3 linked regions of the Diceros bicornis minor genome follow. The protein of the gene in region 2 purifies or fractionates together with the protein of the main gene of each other region. This does not show direct contact. Links are inferred from orthologs where the notes say so. Each region holds a gene or a part of one and is shown on either strand. Other genes may lie near its edges.

Region 1 (7,445 bases), on a different chromosome or scaffold from region 2:
CTGAGCTAACATCTGTGCCCATCCTCCTCTATTTTGTATGTGGGATGCCGCCACAGCATGGCTTGATGAGTGCTGTAGGTCTGCGGCCGGAATCCAAACCCGTGAACTCCTGGCTGCCGAAGTGGAGCATGTGAACTTAACCACTATGCCACTGGGCCGGCCCACTCTTTTGATTTGTATGAAGATCACTTGGGCTGTAATACAGAGAACAGGTTTGAGATCGCTAAACTGAAGGCCAAGTGTCCCATGAGGAAGCTTCTGCAATTATCTGGGAGAGAATCCAATGGTTGTCTACACTAGGGTGGTGGCAGTGAGGTTGAAGAGAAGGGAGTGGAAGGAGTTTTATGAGGTGGAAAGGCTAGAATGTAATGGAGTGTTATGGCAGATCAAGGATGGCTACAAATTCACTGACACTCTTCCTGTTGACAGGCAGGTCCTGCCTGAGAGCTCCTCCTTTTGCATTTGGGTGTGCTCTGTAACTGCTTTGACAAATAGGATATGGCAAAAGGGACACTGTTCCAGTTTCTGGGCCCAGACATTAAGAGACCTGCGGCTTCCATTTCTTGTTTCTTGGAACTTGTGCTCTTGGAATACAGCTACGATACTTTGAGAACTGCAAGCCACATGGAGAGGCCACACATACATAGCTGCTCTGGCTGACAACCCCTGCTAAGCTGCCCGCCGACAGCCAGCATCGGCTGTTAGCCATGTGAGTGCACCATCTTGGATGTCCAGTCCAGGTCAGCCTTCAGATGACCCCAGCCACTGATTACAGCTGTGTCACAGACCCAAGTAATTCCCACGCATCTGAGCCCCTTCAACCCACAGAACCATAAGAGGTAATAATACATTGTTGTTTTAAGCCGCTAGGTTTTGTTGTTGTTTTTTTTTTAAGCCACTAAGTTCTAGGGTTGTTTGTTACACAGCAAAAGAAAACAGGAATAGACGTGGAAGGAGAGAAGGAAGGCAGAATCAAGGATGATATCTAGAATTCTGGTTGGGCCCGGGGTGGAGCCAGTCACTGCTGAGATGGGGACTGGGAGCAGATGAACACTGGGGGGGGGGTGGGGGGGTGGGTAAATGATCTATCATAAACTAGGGAAATATGTATTTTTGGAAATTCATTAAATTTTTTCTAGATATCCTATTATGTTTTATCTTCAGCATTAGCTATCTAGGTTTTAAAAAGGTTTATATTTTATAGATCCCTATCTTGAAGACCCTCTAAAATATAATTGTAGTATCTCCCGCTATAAGTAAAGCTGCACTTCTCAAAAGTATCAAGAGGAACTAGTACCTATTTTATCACATTTAGTCCTTGTTGATTGAGGCATCAACTTCCAGGTCTCTCATTCATTCATCAAGTATCTACTCGCCATCTGGCAGGCGCTCAGCACTGCTCTGGGTGTTAGGGGCACAGCTGTGCACACGACAGATAATATCCCTGCCCTCATGGAGTTTACTCTCTGATTGGCAGGCAGACAAAAAACAAGTAAAGAAAATAATTACCAATTTGATAAAAAGCAATGAAAAAAAAAGTAATAGGCGGCGTGCTGATAGAGAATAAAGGTTGAGAGGAACCTACTTTAGATGAGCTAGTCAGGGAAGATTTTTTAGCTGAAACTAAGGAAGTGGAAAGAACTAGCCGTGAGAAGAAGTGCAGGAGGGGAAGTGAGGTTGACTGATGGCTATGGGACCAACAAGAGGCCCTTGGGTGGTTAAGAGCTTGACCAGATTCTAGGAACTGAAAGACTAGTGTGTTTGGAGTGCAGCGAGCAAGAAGCAAGATGAAGTGGGAGACAGATGAGAGGCTAGATTAAACCATACTTTTTAGGCCATATTAAAAGATTTGCATTTTATTCTAAATGCAAAAGAGGTGGAAGCATGAACATGATCTGATTCACATTTTAAGAAGACAATGGTCAGAACAGACAGGAGGGGGAACACGGGTTGAGAAGCTGTTGCAGTGGTTCGGGACAGAGGAAGTGGCCTGGGCTAAGGTTCTCTCTAAATTTCTTTTCCTTGGACTCAGGTTCTTCCTTTGTAAAGTGCAGGTGGAGGCTTAGTAGAAACAGATCAGCAAACAGTTATTCCCAAGTGCCCAGGTATAATAAGACTCCCACTGGACTCTTGCTTTATAGAAGGATTTGAAATATTTTCAAGATTCATGGTGTTTTCCGCTCCTCTACACCAACCACCTACTTCCTCCAAACCTGTTTCACTCTATCAGAACTGGCATCTGTGGCCTTTGATACACTGAACCAATTGGTGGCTTTCAAGCCAGGTCACCACAAACAGTATTTGTTGTCTACCAAGTTCCTTGGCAACTGGAATAGGTGGGGTGGAAGATCCAAGAGCTGACACAATTTTGCTTGGACTCACCCTGTTGAAGATTACTCCAGTTGGTTTTTTAGGTTTTTTTTGGTCCTTCTGCTGGGCCATGGGACTTGTACTGCCAACAAAACTAAATTTCAGTGTAAGGGATCAGACTGAGGAGCCTTATTAGCCTTAAATTCAGTTCCCTTATCCAATGCCTTTAAGTTTCTCAGTAACTCTATCTGAATATTGATGAAATATCCTTCACTTAAAACATAGTAACATAAATCAGCTGATAGGCTTAAAAGCCTCTTCAACATTCAGATGCTGATGACAATAAGAGAAAAAGGCTCTTTATTGTTATTACTGATTTTTTTTAAAAAGGGTCAGTGTTTCATGTCAGTTCAAATATATAGGTAACCTGTAAAAGCAGCCCCAGAGAGATCCCTTGCCCCACAATGAAAAGACAATGAGAAACAGGAAGTGGGCCCTCACCAGACACACCTTGATCTTGTACCTCTAGCCTCCAGATCCGTGAGAAATAATTGTTTATAAGCATATATGGAGTGACTCCTGATTACCTGGAGAGGAAGAGCAGGACCTTAAGGCATCATCTGTTTAGCCAACCAAAAATTCAGTTACACCACTGTTATATAATTTGTTCAGTAGTGTAGTCAACTTTGCTCTTGATTTTTGTCTACTTATAAAAATGCTTTTGGTCACTAATATATATAAATCCAATTAAGGCTGTATGTAAATTTAAACTGCTTTCTTCTCCCTCCCCCTCAAAAAGGTCTATTCTCCAATATAACATACTTTCTTAAACTCTCTTTATGGGGCAAAGAAACGTTGCAAAAAATGTTTTCTCATTCTTTCCTGAATCTGAATGATTTAAATATGAAGGAAGTTCTGTCTACCAAGATTCACTTTGAATAGCTCTTATCCAGCTATATTTGAAAGTAAAGCTTGAAGGAAATACCGACTCTTTTGTTGGCTGATTATGCAGACCTATCTCAGGGTGAAAATACAGGTTGTCAACGCCTTTAGGAAGATCGCTTGTCTAGAAGGCCTCGCTATAGGGTCTGCTGTGAGAACACAAGCCTCTGCTTACCCCTGTCTCTTCACCCAAAGCTGGAGATTCCAATGAGAATCCTAAAAAAAAGGTGTGTGTGGCGGGATGGAAGTAGGGGTAGAGGGGATGGAAGGCCAAGGTTCTTCTACACGCATGGCCTAAACCTATTCGTATACTAGTTCTATAGCTGGTCTAAGTGACAGCTCGCAGTAGGCGCAGACCTGCTTGCAAATCCAATCTGGCCTTCCCCTTTCTTTATACCAAGGGTTACTTTTATTTTTTTTTAATTTTTTCTAAGGGTTACTTTTAAAAAGGAAGTTTTTTTTTTTCTTCTGAATTTCCTAAGGGTGCACATGGGGCAACGCACAAGCAAGAATGACACAGGGCGGGAAGTGAGATAAAACGTATGTGATTTCTGAACTCCTTAAAATACGCTGGGTCCTTTTTCCTTCGGAAAAGGGAGGCAGGACAGAAAGAACAAAACAAGTTGCAAACGAGACCAGGCGCCGCAGGAGCGCCGGGGGGTCTGAGCCCGCCGTGGGCCGCAGCGGGAGTCGGGCCGCCGGACGTGGGCTCCAGCCCGGCGGGCGGAACCCGGGGCGGCCGCCCGCCTTCCCCGCGCCCGCCTAGAACCCCGCGCGGCCGGTTCCGGCGCACGTGGCCGCCGCAGGCTCAAAGTCCAAGGGCAGCGGCAGGGCGCGGGCCTGGGGCGCGCCCCGGCTCCTGCACGGCGGCGGCACTAACGAACCGGACAGCCGCTCTCCGGCCGAGGGCACGCCCCCTCCGGCCCTCCAGGGTCCGCACACGACCGCCTCCGCCTCCCACCACGGTGGCAGGAGGCCGGGCGGGGAACCGGAATCCACCGGCAGGCATCCTGCCCTTTTCTCGCGAGAGGTGGGAACGGAAGAAGGTTGGGCGGGCGACGGGACGTAGCCAATGAGAGCGCGGGAAGGGCGTGATCGACGGCCCTCCAGCGCCTCCTCTAGGCCCCGCCCCGGCTGCGGAGGCCCGGGTCGCCGCCCGCTCTCCCTCCCCTCCCCACCTTCCCTCCCCTCCGTGCCCCGCTCTTCTCTTCCCGTCTGAGGTGGCGGCCGGCCTCCGTCCTCTCCAGCTCCGTATACCTCTCCTCCCGGCTGCCCTCTTCCTCGGCCCGAGGCCGCCGGAGCGCTTCCCCGCCCCGCCAGGGTGGCCGCATAACCCCTGCCCCTAGAATCCTGCGCCGCCTCTGCGCTCCCGTCCTCGCCCTGCCCCGCCATGAATGAGGAGTACGACGTGATCGTGCTGGGCACCGGCCTGACGGTGAGCTCCGCGCGGCGGCGCGGCCGGGGGCCGGGGGCGGGCCGGGGGCCGGGGGGCGGGAGGCCGGGGCTCAGCCCCCTCCCCAGCCCCGTCGCTCCCGCCGCGGGAGGCGAGGCCCACCCCGCCAGACCGCGCGGAACGGCCTGCGCGCGTCGGCCCCGAGCCTCGGCCTGGCCGCGGGGGGCGTCCTCCGTCGAGGTTTCGGGGGCTGAACTTCGCGGGGGTCGGGAGCTGGAGTGGGCCTGCGCGGGGGCTCGCGGCCGCGCAGGGGCGGGTCGGCCGGTGGAGTGGGTCGTCTCTGAGTGCGGAAGGGGGCGCCAGGAGATGGAAGACGCGGTCCCGTGGGTGCCCTGATGGGTGGTCACGGCGAAATACAGGTGGGGGGAACAGCGGAGTGTCGCTGTGCTGCAGAAGGCACCGTAGAAGCCCGGATCGGGGTGTTGATGCCCCTCCACCTCCCTCACGGGTGGATGGCCTCTCCGGATTGGAAACGGAAAAGCGCCAGGCAGAGTGGGGGAGGGTGGAAGCCACTCACAGTTGCATTTCCTGCTTAGCCTGCAGCCACTACTACCACTCAGCTCTGGCTGCCAGAACGAGGCGCAAGGCTTTGTGACAAGTCTTTGGATAATCACTGTTTTGTAATTGTCAGAGTTCAGTTAACTTAAGTTTTTGGAGAAAAGTAGTTTTCCTATCCCCACTCCAGTTGAGAAGCATTGTCCATTCCTTGTAACCACCCTCCTATCCCACTTAACGGAGCATCTGTAGAATTGGAAATGAGTTTTCTCAAAACTTGTCTATCAAACCCTTTCTCACCTGACTTTTGCCACGTTTTCCTTTTGTTTGGTCTGTTCCCTGACTCCATTGTCTCTTCTGGATGCTTTCCCTTAAGACATGGGTTGGTGATGGATTGCCAGAGGCCAAGTTCTCCACTACTATCCTCTTCAGGGAGTTAGGAGATCAATCAGTACCAACATAAAAAATGCAGTTGTCATGTGAATGCAAGGTGTTGCTAATACCATGGCAAACTTAATTTCCTGGGTATCTGTCTGTCTAGAGACCTTTAGATAATCTGCAAATAATGCAGGCAGGTGTTGTATCTTGTAGTACTTCTTTTTGTCCTTTTTTAAGAAAATGAATACTATTCATCTTGCAAAAGGATTCCATTTGAAGAGAAGACCATTTTCATTATTAGAATTTTTTGGAAATTTGAAATTCTGACTTTGGGCTGCTTTGTCTTAAGATGAACGCTGATGTAAATATTGTGTATCCTGTATAATCTGATCCCAAAGTTCTGGGTCATTTAATGTAAATCGCTGCTTCAGGGTTGTTGAAATGCACTGTAATCTCTCAGGATCAAATTAATATTTTTTTCAGGTAACACTCCAAAATAACTATTTTAGATTTCTCTAGACAAGAGAAAACGTTTTAACTTTAATTTGGCTAATTTTTTAGGAAAAGGTTGTTAGGAACTAGAATGGCACTTTTCTGGCCTGTCATTTTTCTGTTTATAGTGATTTATGGTGATTGTTGGAGAATACTCATTTCTGAATGCTTCATTATATTTGACCGGTCCAGAGATAGACATGTGCCTGCCTAGGAAATAGTACCAAATAGATGAGATTACTTACCTAGAAAGCTATTTAGTCATTTTGAATGTGAGATATTGGGTTGAATTTCCTTTTTGGTGGTGATTTGGAAGACTGTTGGATGCCTAAATGAATTGGCCTACCCACTGCAGGGTTGTCTTTTTAGTTTTTAAAATGCCTAATTGGGATTCTGAGCTGAGCTTAGTTTGTGATGGATTTTGCTCACTGGAATGGGCACTGTTGCTGCCCGCATGTTGTAAGAGCCAGTGAGTTCCACTGTTTTTCTACGGTTAGTGCTGGTCTTTCAGATTTGCTCTTGGTTAGGTCAGTTGAGCGTGGACAAATGAGTGCAAATCCATCATCACGCAGGTTTCTACCTGCCTAGTTCAGAAGCATCACATTGTAGCAAAGACAGCACAGTCTTGTATAACAACCAAGTTCAGATAATGCACTTTATTTAAATTTTCATTAGGATTAATTAATTGGATTCATTTGGATTTTTGGTGAGTGGTAGACGCATACCTAACTAGAAATCAGACCAATTTTTGCTATCATATTATAGCTGTGATAACTTTAATACCTATGAGCCTTCATAGATTGTTTTGTGACATATTTTTTGAGAATTATATCAATTCAGAGCAATCACATTATTACCATCATTGATAGGAATAGTGGTGACGGGATGATTTTGATAATGATGAATCTTGTACCCTCATTTTTAGTGACACAAGGACTTTGATTACTTAAAGTTAAATGAAGAGACCACCAAAGTTTAAAACCCTCAAGTTAGAATTAACTTTGAGTATTTAGAGTGAACATATTTAATTTTCCTAGTTTTTTTTTTTTTTTTTTTTTTATGAGGAAGATCCGCCCTGGGCTAACGTCTGCCAATCCTCCTCTTTTTGCTGAGGAAGACTGGCCCTGGGCTAACATCCATGCCCATCTTCCTCCACTTTATATGGGACACCGCCACAGCATGGCTTGCCAAGTGGTGCATGGGTGCGCGCCTGGGATCCGAACCTGTGAACCCTGGGCCGCCGCAGCGGAGCGCGCGCACTTAACTGCTTGCACCACCCTGCTGGCCCCTAATTTTCTTAGTTTTTGGTTTATAAATATATAGTGCCTGAGATTTAAGAACCTGAAAACAGGCGTATGCTATCAGTTATGGGTAC
Region 2 (6,957 bases):
GGCAGGCAGCTTGGGCCTGCACTGCCCTTCTAGGCGTCTTTTGTAGCACTTGGCTCTGCCGTCCCCATGGGGGCAGGAAGCCTCTTGGGCCTTCACATTCCTTCCTAGACAAGGGCCACTGGCCTTTGCCCCACAGATACTGTACAGTATTTTCATTAAAAGCCTCTTTCTTAACTTCCTGTCCATGGTTTTGCCTGATGAAAATGGGGAAACTCCCAGCCACAGACAAACTGGAAAAGAGGAAGTGCAATCAATAGCCACCACTAATACTGTTGACCGTGACAGGTGGGGCCCCTTTAATCCCCACAGCTTGGGAGGCCGTCTGTCCCCACTTTGCAGGGGCACTGAGGCTGAGTGATGTGACTAGCCTAAGGTCCAAAGCCAGGAAACAGTGGAGTCAAGATTCGAACCAAAGCTTTCTGACTTCAGAGCTGGGCTAACTGAACTCAACAGATATTTATTCAGTGCCTGTTATGTGCTAGATCTTGTTCCAGTACCTAGACACAGCAGAGAACAAAACACAGGTCTTGCTCTCGTGGAGCGTACAGTCTAGCATTTATGACCACGTAACCCACATGCTGTCTGTGACCCTGAGCAGGTCACTGCACCTCTCTGTGCCTCTGTCCTCAGCTGCCCAACGTGAGAATGAGCAGGCCCGGCTCAGATATGGATAATGTGCCTGGTGCACTGTAGATGCCTAACAGGATACCCCATCCCCAGCCCACCACCCAGACAGTAGAGAGAGCTGGAAGTTGCCTTTTAATCATCAAGTACGAGGGGAGAGAGCAGAGGGACCTGAGCCTGGTAGTCTGATGGGCCGCCGCCCCAGGGCCTGGGCTGCCTACACGAATTGCTGTTGCTGCTGCTGCTTCTTGGTGGCTGCCTTGCTGGCAAGGTCCTTGGCCTTCTCTGTAGCTGCCAGTGCTGTCTCCTTTGCCTTCTCCTTGGCTTCCTTGGCTGTCTCAACAAGAGATTTGGAAGGAGCCTCACCTGCAGCAAAGGGCAAGGGGCTGGCTTCAGAGGACGCCACAAAGACCCACCTAGTCACCCCCCGCGACATTTACCTCCTGTGGGCCGGGCCCCACTGGAAAGGCAGTGTTTGCCCCAAGGTACAGATGAGGCACCCCAGGCTTAAGAGTTGGTAGTGACAGCCCCACGCTCCACACCAGTCAGGGCAGCTAGGACTTGACCCCAGCCTCTGCCTGTGCCCAGAGAACTCACCTTGCAGCTTGGCCAAGATGTATTCAAAACCTTTCATAGTCTTGGTCACGTTGCTTTTGAACCGGGCAAGACCAAATTCCTGGCAAAATGTGGGAAGGGAAAGGATTCAGAGCTGCCCACTGACCCCCAGCCCAGCCTCTCTGCCAAATGCCAGAGCCCCAGCACCCCCACAACGCTGCTCACCTGGACAGCTCTGGAGACGCCAAATAAGCCAGAGGAGACCCAGGCTTCCCGGCGGATTTCGGTCCAGCCACTGTTATCAGAGTTCACACAGTAAACACATCGTTCCTCCACCACCTGTGCAGGGAGTCGGGCCAACCACAATCATGTGGCAGTCTTTCACTTTGCCAACTTGCATATAAATTTGATCCCCTGTCTCTTTTCACGAGAGAAAGCAAAAAAATGAAAATCCATTCCTTTCCCTTATTGCATCCCCAAGCTGCGTTTCAGGAAAAGAGTAAGAACATAAAATAGGTCATTTTGTTCTCTAAAACCTCTCCTCTGACCCTTCAAACTAAAAGGCACGTGGAAGGCAGAGGGCCTTCCAGCTCCACCCTGGCCCTGGATTTTGTTTTGTACCGTTATGTCTAGACATGTGCAGTGTTGTTAGCCTGCCTTCCACCTATCGCAGCTCTTGAGCTCCCTGGCAGTCCAAATAAAAACGGAAATCTGGCAATCCTCACAGCTCTCATTATGAGAGGAGTGTGAACCACTACTTTCAAGAGAAACACTTAAAACGTGTCTCATAGCTGGATTGAAAGACATTCTCACAACTGGATGGCTATCTTGGTAATTTACAGAACAGAGGTAATGCCCTTAGGATAGTCAGCTGGGAGGCCTTCAGATAACTCTGGGGCAGAGTATTAACGTGCCTACTCACTCTGTGACCTCATAGGACACTACCCCTCTCTGAAGCTCACTTCCTTCTTTGCACAATAGGGAGTAACAGATTAGCTGAAAAAGAGAATGAGCATTCTCTGAAAGCTTTCAGGGTATTCACATGTGAGAAGATACTGTAGAATGTTCTTTGAACTGTAGGCTTTCAAGTTTTTTGAAAGGCAAGAGATCAAAGGTATGTGGAACCTCTTTTCCCCAAATTCTCAGGAAAAAACCCATTATATAAAACCCATTATATAAGACAGATAAAAGTGCAACTTCTCTAGCCAACGTGAGGCAAGGGCCCCAGGTCCTCTCTCACTCTCAGGCACATCCAAGGCACCCTTATGGCTTGGTGGACTGCTGGTTGAAAACCACTGCCTCCCTTTCTCAGCATCACTCCTGTAGGCCCAACCTATACATGTGCCAGGAACAGTGTGAATGCCCTGCATTTACTACCCGCAACAACTCTGTAAAACAGGTACCCCGCCCACTGTATGAAATGGGTTAAAAGAGAGGTCAAGAGAGGGTAGCCAGCTGAAAAGATCATTAGAATCTGTACTCTAGAGCCATCATTCCTCAGTAACCCAGCTCTGCCTCAGACCATAGAAGCTCCCTCGTGCCTCCCTAGCCACATGTACTGGAGCTCTCTACTTTTGGGGGGGACCAAGGAGGGTCTCACCATCAGCCGTGCGTGGTTGATGTTCCAGGTGAAGGTGGTCATGGTCTGGTTCTGTGGGTCCACAATAGAATCCTCCAGGATGTACACCGAGTGAGCAACATTGGCAGGAAACAGTCGCTCTGCCCAGCGGGGCATCCTGTTGGTCTTGGTCAGGAGTCGCCGGGACAGGAGCTTCTGGTCAGGGGTCACCTCCCGGTGCACTATGTCTTCCGTCAAGACATGTTTGCTGCAGGTGTCAGAGTGAAGGTGACCCTCGGGAGCCTGCCCCTGAGAGACGGCCTGTTGGGGTTCCCATCTGGAGCCCCCCAGCCCAAAATGGCCATGCCTTCCCCTAAACTTGCAGAGTGATCTGTGCTGTGGCTCAGACCTGAACTCGAAGCCCTTGAGCCTATCCTAGGGCAAATTCCAACTCCTGCCCCCTCGCTGACCTGGATTCCTGGGCCATCCAGCAGGGCTGGGCCTCATGATTTATTGCACCACCGGAGAGCGCCACAGGCAGAGGACTAGGCAAGCGCCAGGATTTCCAACCCCAAGGTCCCTCCCAACTCCTGTGCCGCCGGCTCTTCCAGTCTCACCACCCAGAGATGAGAGAACCTTAGACTAGGGCCTCAAGTAAACCACCGCCCAGGCCCAGCCTCCTTCCAAGTACCTTTGCAGGCCTGGCTCGGCCGCTTCCCGGATAGGGTCCCTCTTGCCCTACAGACGGCCACAGTGCCGGCGATCCCCTACCTCGGACTCGATGTCGAGTCTTTCCTGGCCCCACACTTCGAACTCCAAACAGCGAGGGGGAGGGCTGCTCTCTCCAGGGCCACGTACCTATAGGGATTCGGGTACCGCTGCCAAAAGGCAGCGAACACTTGGTCCCAGGAACTCCGGAGCACGCTCTGGCCCAGGAAATACTTCACCATCGTCCCAGCCGGGGCGGGCTCAACACCCGCGAAGCATCAGGGGTGCGGAGCCCGGGGGGCACGCGGAGGCCGGGCCGGGGCTCGGCGCACGCCCGCCAGGCTCGCAGCTCAGTCACCACTGCGCCGCGCCCAACCAGCCACCGCCGCCATGAGGAGCAGTCGGGACGCGCACTACTTCCGGCGCAGCAGCGCTGAACCCACCACTTCCGGCGCCTGTGCACGTGACCTCGTGGCCCCGCCCCTCACTCCTCCCCCTGCGGGAGTCCAGGCGCAGCAGGCCGGAGGCAGGTCGGCGGGACCCTGGGCTCGGTGAGGAATTCGTGCCGGACAGCGCCTAACCCGGCGGGCGAGCGGGCGGCGGCGTGCGGCGCCGTTGAGGGCGCTGCCCCGCGCGCTCCCAGGCCGCCCCGGGTCCTGGGCTCTTCCTTCGAAGGAGGAGCAGCGCCCGGGACCGAAGAGCGGGGGCAGACGGGGGCGCTGCCAAGGCTCGAGCCCGACGCGGTATCTCGAGTCGCAGGTTGGCGCCCCGGGTCAGGGACTGAGGCTTGGGCGCCGCCTGCCCGACCGGAGATTCGGGTTTGCCTCCCGCCGCCGCTCAGGCCCCTGAGGTGGGTGAGGCGGCCCCGGGAGCATGAGCGGGCAGCGCGTGGACGTCAAGGTGGTGATGCTGGGCAAGGAGTACGTGGGCAAGACGAGCCTGGTGGAGCGATACGTGCACGACCGCTTCCTGGTGGGGCCCTATCAGAACGTGAGTGCGCCCCGCGGGAACAGGCACGGGTGGGAGGGGGCCAGCTCACACCGCGGCCCTGAGCCCTTCGCTCTGGTTGCAGACCATCGGGGCCGCCTTCGTGGCCAAGGTGATGTCCGTCGGAGACCGGACGGTGACTTTGGGTATTTGGGTAAGTCCCGTGGGCAAGTAGTCCTGGGAGACCCCATTCTTGAGGAGGCTTAGGTCCTGCCTATTACTGACTGACTTGTGGCTTCACAGAGGCCATTTCTCTTCTAGACCCCAGTTTAAAAATGGGGGTGTGGAGGACCTGGGGAGTGCTCAGGAACTCAGGCCAGGTCTGAGCCTCCCCCTGCCTTTCAGGACACAGCAGGCTCTGAGCGCTACGAGGCCATGAGCCGAATCTACTATAGGGGCGCCAAGGCTGCCATCGTCTGCTATGGTAAGGAGGGTTCTGGCCTATTTCTCAAACAAGAAGGGGTGGGTGCCAGGCTGGCCTTAGAGAACAGCCCCTGACTCTTGGTTGTGTTTCTTGCGCGTCCTATACCCCTCCCAAGACCTTACGGACAGCAGCAGCTTTGAGCGGGCAAAGTTCTGGGTGAAGGAACTGCGCAACCTAGAGGAGGTAGGCAGCGAGACCTCACCAGAGGACCAGGAGCTGGGGCGCTGGTGGTCTGTGGGGGTGACCCACCTTGTCTTCTGCTTCAGGGCTGTCAGATCTACCTGTGTGGCACCAAGAGTGACCTGCTAGAGGAGGACAGGCGGCGTCGACGTGTGGACTTCCATGATGTCCAGGACTATGCTGACAGTAGCTGCTCCTCAGCTCCCTGGGGGAGGGGGAGGGAAGTGGCTGCTTGGGTGGGTCACAGAAAATAGGGACTGCCTTGGCTGCCATGGCAAGATCACCTGGGAAGGCTTTCTGGCCTCCCTGGACCTGTGGGGTCCAGAAGATTCCCTGAACTGCTACCCTTCCCCTTTGTCTGTGTCCACCTGATTGTCAGATATGAGGCCTTAGTCACTTCTCTTTACAGATATCAAAGCTCAGCTCTTTGAAACATCCAGCAAGACAGGCCAGAGTGTGGGTGAGTGCTGTCTTGGGCCTCACAGCAGGAACAGGCAGGGCACCAGAGGAGGCAGGGAAGAACCTAGAGAGCTAGGTCACTGGGTGATCCCAGGGCTACTGGGATTGGGCCCTCACTGACCGTCCTTTTTCCTGCCAGACGAGCTCTTCCAGAAAGTGGCAGAGGATTACGTCAGCGTAGCTGCTTTCCAGGTGATGACAGGTGTGTGCTTCCCTAGCCTCTTTGGAGACTTCCTCCAGGCCCACGGCATCTGGCCCCGTTCACGGAGTTACCCGATCCCCCCGCAGAACGGTGCTGAGCTGCCATCTCTCTCTCTGACAGAGGACAAGGGCGTGGACCTGGGCCAGAAGACAAACCCCTATTTCTACAGCTGTTGTCATCACTGAGTCATCACTCATCTGGCCTGGGGGAATTAAAGGAATTCCTCCAGAGGGGCTGGACCTAGCTCTTGTCCGGGCCTGGGTGGTCAAGCGTTTGAGCTACCCCAGGTCCCCATGGCAGCAGAGGTGGCACCTACCTGTGCTGGCCCATGGAACAGAGGCAGCATTGGGCTGACTGATGGGCATGAGGGTAAGGGCTGATTTGGACCTCAGGCTTCTGCCCTGGACAGCACTTGTCTCTGCAGATTACTTAAGTGGCTTCTGATTTGTAAATAAAATCAATGCACTGTGAATCACACTCACCCCTTTCCCTGCTGTGTGGACTGGGTGTCAACAACCTAGTTCTTTCTGGGGCCACCTGGCTGGCCTCATTTCCTATATTAAGGCTCCTCTCAGCTCTTATTTTCCTTTGGAAACCAAGTAACTTCACACCAGGGTTGCGACTGAGATAATGGAGAAACAAAAGGGCCCTTTCCTATTCTTTAGTGGGGGCAAAGATAGGGTGAGAGATTGGGCAGTGGAAAGTTCAGTTTGTTCCTGGTGCTGAGAAGAGCAAAGCAAGCACTAAATGGTGTCTAGAGATCAAAGGGTCAAGCACTTCCACCTCAGACTGGCTGGCTCTACCACATCTCTGTCATGTCTAGGTCTGTGAGTTATGCCTATGGCTCAGATCCTAAGCTTACCAGCAACATCCTACAAAGTGGTTCAACAGTAGAAAAATCATAGGTTCTGCAAGACAGAAAGGTCTTAGGGATCCAGACTGGGATCCAGTTCAGCTACTAACTTAGAAAAGGGACTTGAACTCAGCCTGAGTTTCTCTTCTGTAAAATGAGGTGAGCACTACCCAGTTCAGGACTGTGAAGATCAAGAGTGAAAAGTAACTCTAGGACTAAATGTTTGTCTTCCCTCACTCTTCCCTGGAGAGCTTTTTGCCCAAGGGGCAGGAAGTTCAGGACTAGTTCAGAAGAGAAGGCAGACTCCCAAGTTTCCCCCAAAGTGTATTTTTGGACCTTGGAGATCCAGATATTTCTGAAGGATCTGGTGTTACTGTAGACAGGGCTGAAGCTTCCTGTTCAACCAA
Region 3 (7,333 bases), on a different chromosome or scaffold from region 2:
GTGCCTGGTGAGTGGGGCTGGTGGGAAAGGATGGCAGCCTGGGGTGGGGGACAGCTGTTTGGGTTGCAGGGGCTCAACCGCTCTGTGTCTTCCATAGCTCAGGTCTGATGGCGCCGAGGGAGGTCCTCACAGGCAATGGTGAGTGAGGTCAGGGAGGGTGCACATTTTCTGTCCTCCTCCAGCCCTGGGCCCCAGAAAGCTGGTCTGCAGCTCCTCAGCCCCTCCTCACTCCCAGGGCAGTCCCCCTGCTTCGGAGCACCTGGCAGCTGAGTAGGGAAATGCTGGCCCCCAGACCTCACCCTTCTCCAGCTGGGCCCTGCCTGGCAGAGGAGTCAAGACATCTAGGGGCCTCCATGCCACTTTCCACTCAGGCAGCGTGAATCCTAGAGTTTCTATAAAGGACAGTCACCCCCATGGAAATGTCTTGTGAACCTTCCACAGGTGGATTTGGAGTTTTCTCTATCTCTATTTTGTTCCACTTAATTAGGGCTTGGCATCAGGGAGTCGACGACTGAGGCCACAGATGTCCAGGAGGAGGCTGGGGGTAGGTGGGATAAGAAGCAGCTACTGTTAGGGATCCTCACTGGAAACTGAAAACACTAGTGAAGGTTGATGGGAGCTGGCTCTGCAAGGGTCTCAGTGTCCCACCATAGAGGACATGCCAGTTGCCAGAGGTGGGGGGACTTCACAGTGCAGATGCCTGGTGGTCCCCACCTCAACGAGGTGATCTCACTGAACGCCATCAAGAGGGGGCACTGATGTGACGTGTGGAAGGGCACGGCCTTGCCTCTGCTGGCTTCTGCTGTGCAACAATGGTCAGATGGGTTCTAACAGGCGTGGGGAGCATTGCTGTAAGTGCCGCCCGTGACCTGGTTCTCTGCTCTCCCCGTTGTCCCTCAGATGAGGTCATTGGGCAGGTACTGAGCATGCTCAAGTCCGAAGATGTCCCATACACAGCAGCCCTCACAGCACTCCGCCCTTCCAGGGTATGTGCCTCTCCTCAGGGGCTCTGGGAGGTGTGGGCAGAGGCCGCGTGGTGAGTTGGCCTGGAGGGGGGATGACTTCAAGCAGAGTGTGGAGCGCATTGGGGAGGCCAGATTCTCCCCTGGGCCAATATGGGGGGAATGGGGGTGAACAGTAAAGTCCTCCTTCCTTCTTCTAGGCAGCAGGTTTCTGTTTTGCCCTGTCAGTCTTACGGGCTGGCATACGTAGGCAACAGTCCAAGTATTCCTAAGTTTGAGGGACTAGGATTCTCACAAAAGCTTAGGGGCCAGCAGGGGAAAGCTTCCTGGAGGAAAGGCCTCCAAATATGACCCTTGGGACTGCAGATGGTGGAGAGGGTGCCCAGTGGAGACAGTGAGGGCAGACCCACTTGGTCTGGGGCCTGCTCCCAGGGCTGTTGAGAGAAGGCTTGTGGACTGTTTCTGCAGGTGGCCCGCGATGTAGCCATGGTGGCTGGTGGGCTAGGTCGCCAGCTGTTGCAAAAACAGCCAGCATCGTCTGTGATCCATCCTCCTGTGAGTTACAATGACACCGCCCCCCGGATCCTGTTCTGGGCCCAAAACTTCTCGGTGGCATACGGGGACCACTGGGAGGACCTGACCTCCCTCACGTTTGGGGTCCAGGAGCTCAACCTGACCGGCTCCTTCTGGAATGATTCCGTTGCCAAGTAAGGGCAAAGTACCTGCCACTGCAGGGGTGGGGGGTGTGTTGGGGGGCATGTTCACTGTGGGGATGTAGGTGGTATCATGGGATGGGGCTGATGGAGGGCTCTTGGAGTGGGGCATGCTCAGATTTCTGCCTCCCAGTGCCCTCTAGTCCTTGACTGGGACCTTAGTTGTTAACACTTCCCAGTCACCTGGGAACCTGACGCCTCCCCCTTGAGCAACATCAAGGCGACTGCACAAGGGCGTGTACCAGGCCTAAACCAGCTCTGGGGCTCCTGTATCCTTCCTGTGTGATAAGAGAGACTGCCCTTACCCCCCACAGCCCAACCTGGGCACCTCAGTGACTCCAGGAGGGAGCTGAAAGGAGAGTCACTGGGCTCAAGGGAGCCCGAGGAAGGAGCCCTCAGCTGGAGGTGGGGGACGTGCATACTGGTTCCTGACTTAGAATGTGTCAGAGCCTGAGTTTTCCCATCTGTCAAGTGGGGTTGCTGTCTCTTCAGGTGGCTGTGAGACCCCAGGGCAGCTTAGGTAGGAGTAGATCTGAGGAATTTGCTCTGAGACATTCAAGGCCCTCCCAGAGCCTGACAACTTGCCTCTTACTCTGGTTCTGCAGGCTCTCGCTGACCTACGAACACCTCTTTGGTACCACAGTGACATTCAAGTGAGTCTGAGGGGTGGCTGAGGTGTGGGCGCGCTGGTGTGGCCCCAGCCTCCCCAGCTGCGTGACACCCCGTGGCCTCCCTCAGGTTTATTCTGGCTAACCGCTTCTACCCGGTGTCCGCCCGACACTGGTTTACCATGGAGCACCTTGAGATCCACAGCAACGGCTCCATTGTCTCCTTCAATGCCTCCCGGGTCACGGGGCCCAGCATCTACTCCTTCCACTGCGAGTATGTCAGCACTTGGAGCAAGAACGGCAATATCCTTGTGCCCCGCATGCAGCCCTCTCTCTGGCAAATCACGCTTCAGGACTTCCAGGTAGGGAGCGGGGAGCACCGAGGGACTGAGCCTCGAGTCCGCAATCCCAGGCTGGAGCTCACAGGATACTGGGAGAGGGGGGAGGGAACAGAGGCCTGAAGAGTCCCAGCATCCTTTGAGTTTGGGTTTGGGCTCAGGAATGTAGTTGAGAGTCCCATCCCCACGGTGCTCCCATCTCGTGAGATCTAGACTACCCACTCACTCGGGAATCCTGGCCCTTACTGGGCCTCCCTCTGTGTGGGGCTACATGGTTCTTTCTGTGCCCCAGATCCAGGCCTTCAGTGTGACAGGTGAGCAGTTCTCCTACGCCAGTGACTGTGCCGGCTTCTTCTCTCCTGGCATCTGGATGGGGCTGCTCACCTCCCTTTTCATGCTCTTCATCTTCACCTATGGCCTGCACATGATCCTCAGCCTCAAGACCATGGACCGCTTTGATGACCACAAGGGCCCCACCATCTCTTTGACCCAGATTGTGTGACCCTGTGCCCATGGGGGGTTGAGGGCATGATGTGTCCAGGTTGTTGCTTTCCCACCCTGAGGCATGCTGGACTGAAGGGCTTCCCCTCTTCCTACTATAGTGTGAACCCACAGCTCCCCTCAGTCTGTCTTGCTCCCTGTTCAACTGAGGGGCTTTCCTGGGGCTGCCCACCCCCCATCTCTACCAAGAAGATGTATATATTCTGCATTGCTAGTAGAAAAATCTCCCAGGTTTGGGCATTGTGAGGGGAGGGGACCTGAGTTCTAGGGCCCCTCCTCCTCCCCCTTTCTCCTTATTTATTCTCATCTCTCTGCCTTCACCCCTTGCTGTTTATAGTGCTTTTGTGGCCAGTGCTCCCTCCCCACGCTTTATGGGGCTCCCTGCAGCAGCCAGGAGCTGGAGGTTCCCTAAGTTTGGGGGTGCTGAAGTACTATTTAGCTGTCTGTCCCACTTGGCTGGTGTTATTGTTTTTTGGTGATGTTGTGCTAACAATAAACAGTACACTGGGGTTTATTTCTGTGGCCTGATAAGGAAGGGTCTTCCACGGCAGGTGGGCTGGGTATGATCACTGGGTTTCTGGCATGTTGCCGCCAGGAGTGCCTGGCAGGAGCCTGGGGTACTCGGTGGTTTCCTTCCTAATAAAATAAAGACGGGTCGCCATGCGTGGGCCTCTTGTCACTCATTTCTGCACTGGGCACGAGGGATGAGCTTGGCTTAGGGCTGCGGGAGGAGGCGCCCGGATGTAGCTGTAGCTGAGCCAGGCCAAGGGGGAGGTGGGGAGGACTCGAAGTTCCCCTGTGGGCTGCTTCTCCCGGAGCCAGGGGAGACCTAGAGGGTCTTTAGCAAGCTGGGCCCCTCACCGGCTAGCGTAGGGAGAGTGCCGTGGCGCGGCGGCGATCAACGCCTGAGGGAGTCGGCCGCTACAAAGGCTGCCCTCACGTCCCGAAGGGGTCGCCCTCGGCTGCCGCAGCGGCGCGCGCCCAGCCCGCGGGAACGCGCCGAGCCTCCCGGGGGGCGGGCGGGGCGGGCGGGGCGCGCGCTGCTCCCGCGCACGGATCCCTCGCGGGCCGCAGAACTGGCCGCCGGCCCGCCCCGCCCCGCCCCGCCCGCCTCAGGGCCCTTGCCCATCGCCGCCGCCCGCGGAGCCGCGGTGGTGCTGGGTCCCGGGCTCCGGCAGCCCTCCTGGGAGGCGAGACGGAAAGGCAGCGGCCCCGGTCGGGCGCGGCAGGGCGCTGGGAGGGGCCGGACTCTTTGACGCGGCGGAGGGGTCCGACGGCGGCCGACGCGCCGCCATCTTTGGTCCAGTGCGGCGGCGGCGGCTGTGGTGAAGGAGGAGGAGGAGTCGACTTGCGCTGGCAGCGAGGCCTGACCATGGACGAGGAATACGATGTGATCGTGTTGGGGACCGGCCTGACCGTAAGTGCGGCCTCGGGCGCCTGGGGTCCCGCATCGCCCCCTCCTTCCCGCGGGGCTGCACCTCCCGGCCGCCGGCCCCATCCTCCCGTCACTGCCCACCGCGGCGCTGCCGCCCCCGGCGCTCGGGTCCCCAAAAAGACAGCCGGGTGTCCGACCCCCCGCGACGTCGCCTCTACCCATCGCCGTGGCCCGGTCTCCAACAAGCAGCCCTCTTCCTGGCCGCCCCCTCGACTCCCCGGGCCCCGACTCCCATCCCTCCCCACCTCCCCATTCTGGCCTGCCAGGCTGGAAGACGCACCCCCCCACTCGTCCCGATGTCCTCCGGTGCCTCCTGATCCCCTCGCCCCTCACCCTCGCTCTCCTAGCATCCGCTCCTATCTTGGCGCTAATCCTGGTATGAGGACCTCGGGTCGGAGGGCGTCGCCGGGGTGGGCCGTCATCTTCCCTCCCCGGCTTCTTATGGGGCCTGGGGACCCATAGAATGTTCTAGAAAGAGCATCAGTGGGGGCAGTGACCACATTCCCGCTACCTCACCCCGGTTTCCCTTGGAGATCTCAGGCTGAGTATTATCTGCAGCCTTTGTCCTTGGGCTAGTGACAGTGATGGGGGAGGGTGTTTATCTTCCCCCTTCCTCAAACCCCGTTTGACCCCCCCCCCCCCCCCCCCCGAGAGGCTCATCTCCCTCAGTCGGGGCACAGAAACCCCTCCCGTGGCCGAGAAGGCTCCTGCCCTTTGAGGAAAGAGCAGCCCAGGGTGGGGCCTGCGATCTCAAGACCGGGTGAGCGTTTCTTCACTTCCCTTTCGGGTACCATTCGCTGTGCAGCTGGGTCTCCTCCGTGGATCATTGTGTCCTCCTACCTGCCTTTCCGTGGGCATCTACGTAGATAGAGGACTTTCTTGGCATGTTAGTTGCCGGAGGACCATCTGTGTGTCTGCTGGACACTCTCTCTCCCTCAACGCCGCCAGTGTTTCTCTCCTCCTTGTTCGCTCAGCAAGGTTATAAAGGAGGCTGTGGTGAGATGAAGCCGTTGCCCCCAATTTTAGGCGAGGCGACCAGCCGGGGGTGGAAGGAGCTGTCCTTTGGGGTAGAGTCCTTCTGGCTTTGCTCTTCTCTCAGGTTTGGAGTGGGGAACAAATCAGAGCTGCTAGTGGGAATGTGGGTAGGTGGGAAATGCAGTGAATGTCACTCCTTCCCCAGGAATGCATCCTGTCGGGCATTATGTCCGTGAATGGGAAGAAGGTGCTGCACATGGACCGGAATCCCTACTATGGGGGCGAGAGCTCCTCCATCACACCCCTGGAGGAGGTGAGGCTGCCAGGGCCAGGCCTATCTCTCATTGATCTCTCACATAGGGTACCGAATCAGCTCCCCAGGTTCTTTGGGCTGGGGGCAGGGGCAGGGAGGGCTAGTCCTTGAGGTACCTCTCTTTCTCTCCTTTCTGCTTGCAGCTGTATAAGCGTTTTCAATTGCTGGACGGGCCCCCTGAGGCGATGGGCCGGGGCCGAGACTGGAATGTTGACCTGATCCCCAAATTCCTCATGGCCAATGGTGAGGGAGACGAAGGAGGTATTGTGGGGGGTGACTGAGACAACCAGAGGAGGGTCAGGTTCCAGAGAAAGGGCAGCCAGACCAGCTAGAACTTCTGGAAGGAGCCATGCTGATATTGTTGTCTTCTCCCTACTGCCCCACAGGGCAGCTGGTAAAGATGCTACTGTATACAGAGGTGACACGCTACCTGGACTTCAAAGTGGTGGAGGGCAGCTTCGTCTACAAGGGGGGCAAGATCTACAAAGTGCCGTCCACCGAGACTGAAGCCTTGGCTTCCAGTGAGTGCACGTCCCTTGAGCCAGAGAATCATGGGAGGGCAGCTGTCCAGAGCAGGGTGCCCCGTGCCCAAGGTCACATTCCCCATGCAGTACCAGAAGCCCCTTGCTCTGTCTTCTCTGCACCACCCCAGGCTGTGCCTCACACTTGTTGCCAGGAGGGGACTCCATACACAGAGGGGATGTGTGGGGGATCTCTTTCTTGAAAGACTTAAGCCTTTGACAGGGGCTCCACCTAACAGGTGAAACATCCCCACGTGTCAGAACCAGGAGGGCCCTCAGAGCCTGTTGAGCCATCCCTCTTCATACAGATAGGGAAACTGAGCTCAAGAAAGGCAGAGCAGTTAACGTAAGGTCACATGGTGGTCAGCAACAGAACTCAGCTGGGAGCTGGGGTGCCTGCTTTCTCGGCCTGCCTGGTGGGAAGGAGAGGTTCACTTTCTGTGGTGCAAATGCTCTCCTCACATTGCTTTCGCAGATCTGATGGGCATGTTTGAGAAACGGCGCTTCCGCAAGTTCCTGGTGTTTGTGGCAAACTTTGATGAGAATGACCCCAAGACCTTTGAGGGCGTTGACCCCCAGAGCACCAGCATGCGTGAAGTCTACCGGAAGTTTGACCTGGGCCAGGATGTCATCGACTTCACTGGCCATGCCCTGGCGCTCTACCGCACTGATGAGTGAGGGGAAGCTGGCATGGTGGACCACCCCTTGCCCAGCCTGCACCCTGCCCTCCCCGCTCCTGCTTGCTGCTGCCTCAGCCCACCCTGTACATCTCTTGTACTTGGTCATACAGTCACCTGTGGCCTCTCCCGTCCCTTCCCTGCTTTTGACCCATAGTCTTCCCCAGGTCATTGAGGGTGGTGGGAAGGATGGCTTGGGGCCTGGGTAGGGAGAAGCCAGGGGTGCTGCTATTGGAGCCTCTTCTCCTGAACCCGTCCCCCCAGCTACCTGGACCAGCCCTGTCTTGAGA

What was found.
Region 1: the proteins of RAB24 (region 2) and GDI2 purify together in Homo sapiens (affinity purification with mass spectrometry; 3 studies listed by BioGRID and IntAct, with this or other methods). This does not show direct contact. The link is inferred for Diceros bicornis minor from reciprocal best matches to the Homo sapiens genes RAB24 and GDI2.
Region 3: the proteins of RAB24 (region 2) and GDI1 purify together in Homo sapiens (affinity purification with mass spectrometry; 3 studies listed by BioGRID and IntAct, counting the BioPlex papers as one, with this or other methods). This does not show direct contact. The link is inferred for Diceros bicornis minor from reciprocal best matches to the Homo sapiens genes RAB24 and GDI1.

What each region holds. Positions count from the first base shown.
Region 1 is NC_080775.1:7,008,186-7,015,630, reverse strand, and holds the start of GDI2 (rab GDP dissociation inhibitor beta), read left to right. Parts: upstream 1-4,428; 5' UTR 4,429-4,642; coding exon 4,643-4,687; intron 4,688-7,445. UniProt on the Homo sapiens protein: GDP-dissociation inhibitor preventing the GDP to GTP exchange of most Rab proteins. By keeping these small GTPases in their inactive GDP-bound form regulates intracellular membrane trafficking.
Region 2 is NC_080740.1:90,513,790-90,520,746, reverse strand, and holds the start of RAB24 (ras-related protein Rab-24), read left to right. Parts: upstream 1-3,942; 5' UTR 3,943-4,318; coding exon 4,319-4,435; intron 4,436-4,517; coding exon 4,518-4,586; intron 4,587-4,777; coding exon 4,778-4,856; intron 4,857-4,971; coding exon 4,972-5,039; intron 5,040-5,122; coding exon 5,123-5,222; intron 5,223-5,445; coding exon 5,446-5,496; intron 5,497-5,634; coding exon 5,635-5,697; intron 5,698-5,817; coding exon 5,818-5,882; 3' UTR 5,883-6,957. Other genes in the region: PRELID1 (PRELI domain-containing protein 1, mitochondrial), read right to left, coding at 842-990, 1,222-1,300, 1,405-1,518, 2,780-3,005, 3,596-3,687.
Region 3 is NC_080781.1:138,372,523-138,379,855, forward strand, and holds the start of GDI1 (rab GDP dissociation inhibitor alpha), read left to right. Parts: upstream 1-4,316; 5' UTR 4,317-4,494; coding exon 4,495-4,539; intron 4,540-5,737; coding exon 5,738-5,845; intron 5,846-5,988; coding exon 5,989-6,088; intron 6,089-6,231; coding exon 6,232-6,366; intron 6,367-6,841; coding exon 6,842-7,040; intron 7,041-7,307; coding exon 7,308-7,333. Other genes in the region: ATP6AP1 (V-type proton ATPase subunit S1), read left to right, coding at 98-138, 488-544, 901-986, 1,431-1,669, 2,281-2,328, 2,414-2,645, 2,914-3,123. UniProt on the Homo sapiens protein: Regulates the GDP/GTP exchange reaction of most Rab proteins by inhibiting the dissociation of GDP from them, and the subsequent binding of GTP to them. Promotes the dissociation of GDP-bound Rab proteins from the membrane and inhibits their activation.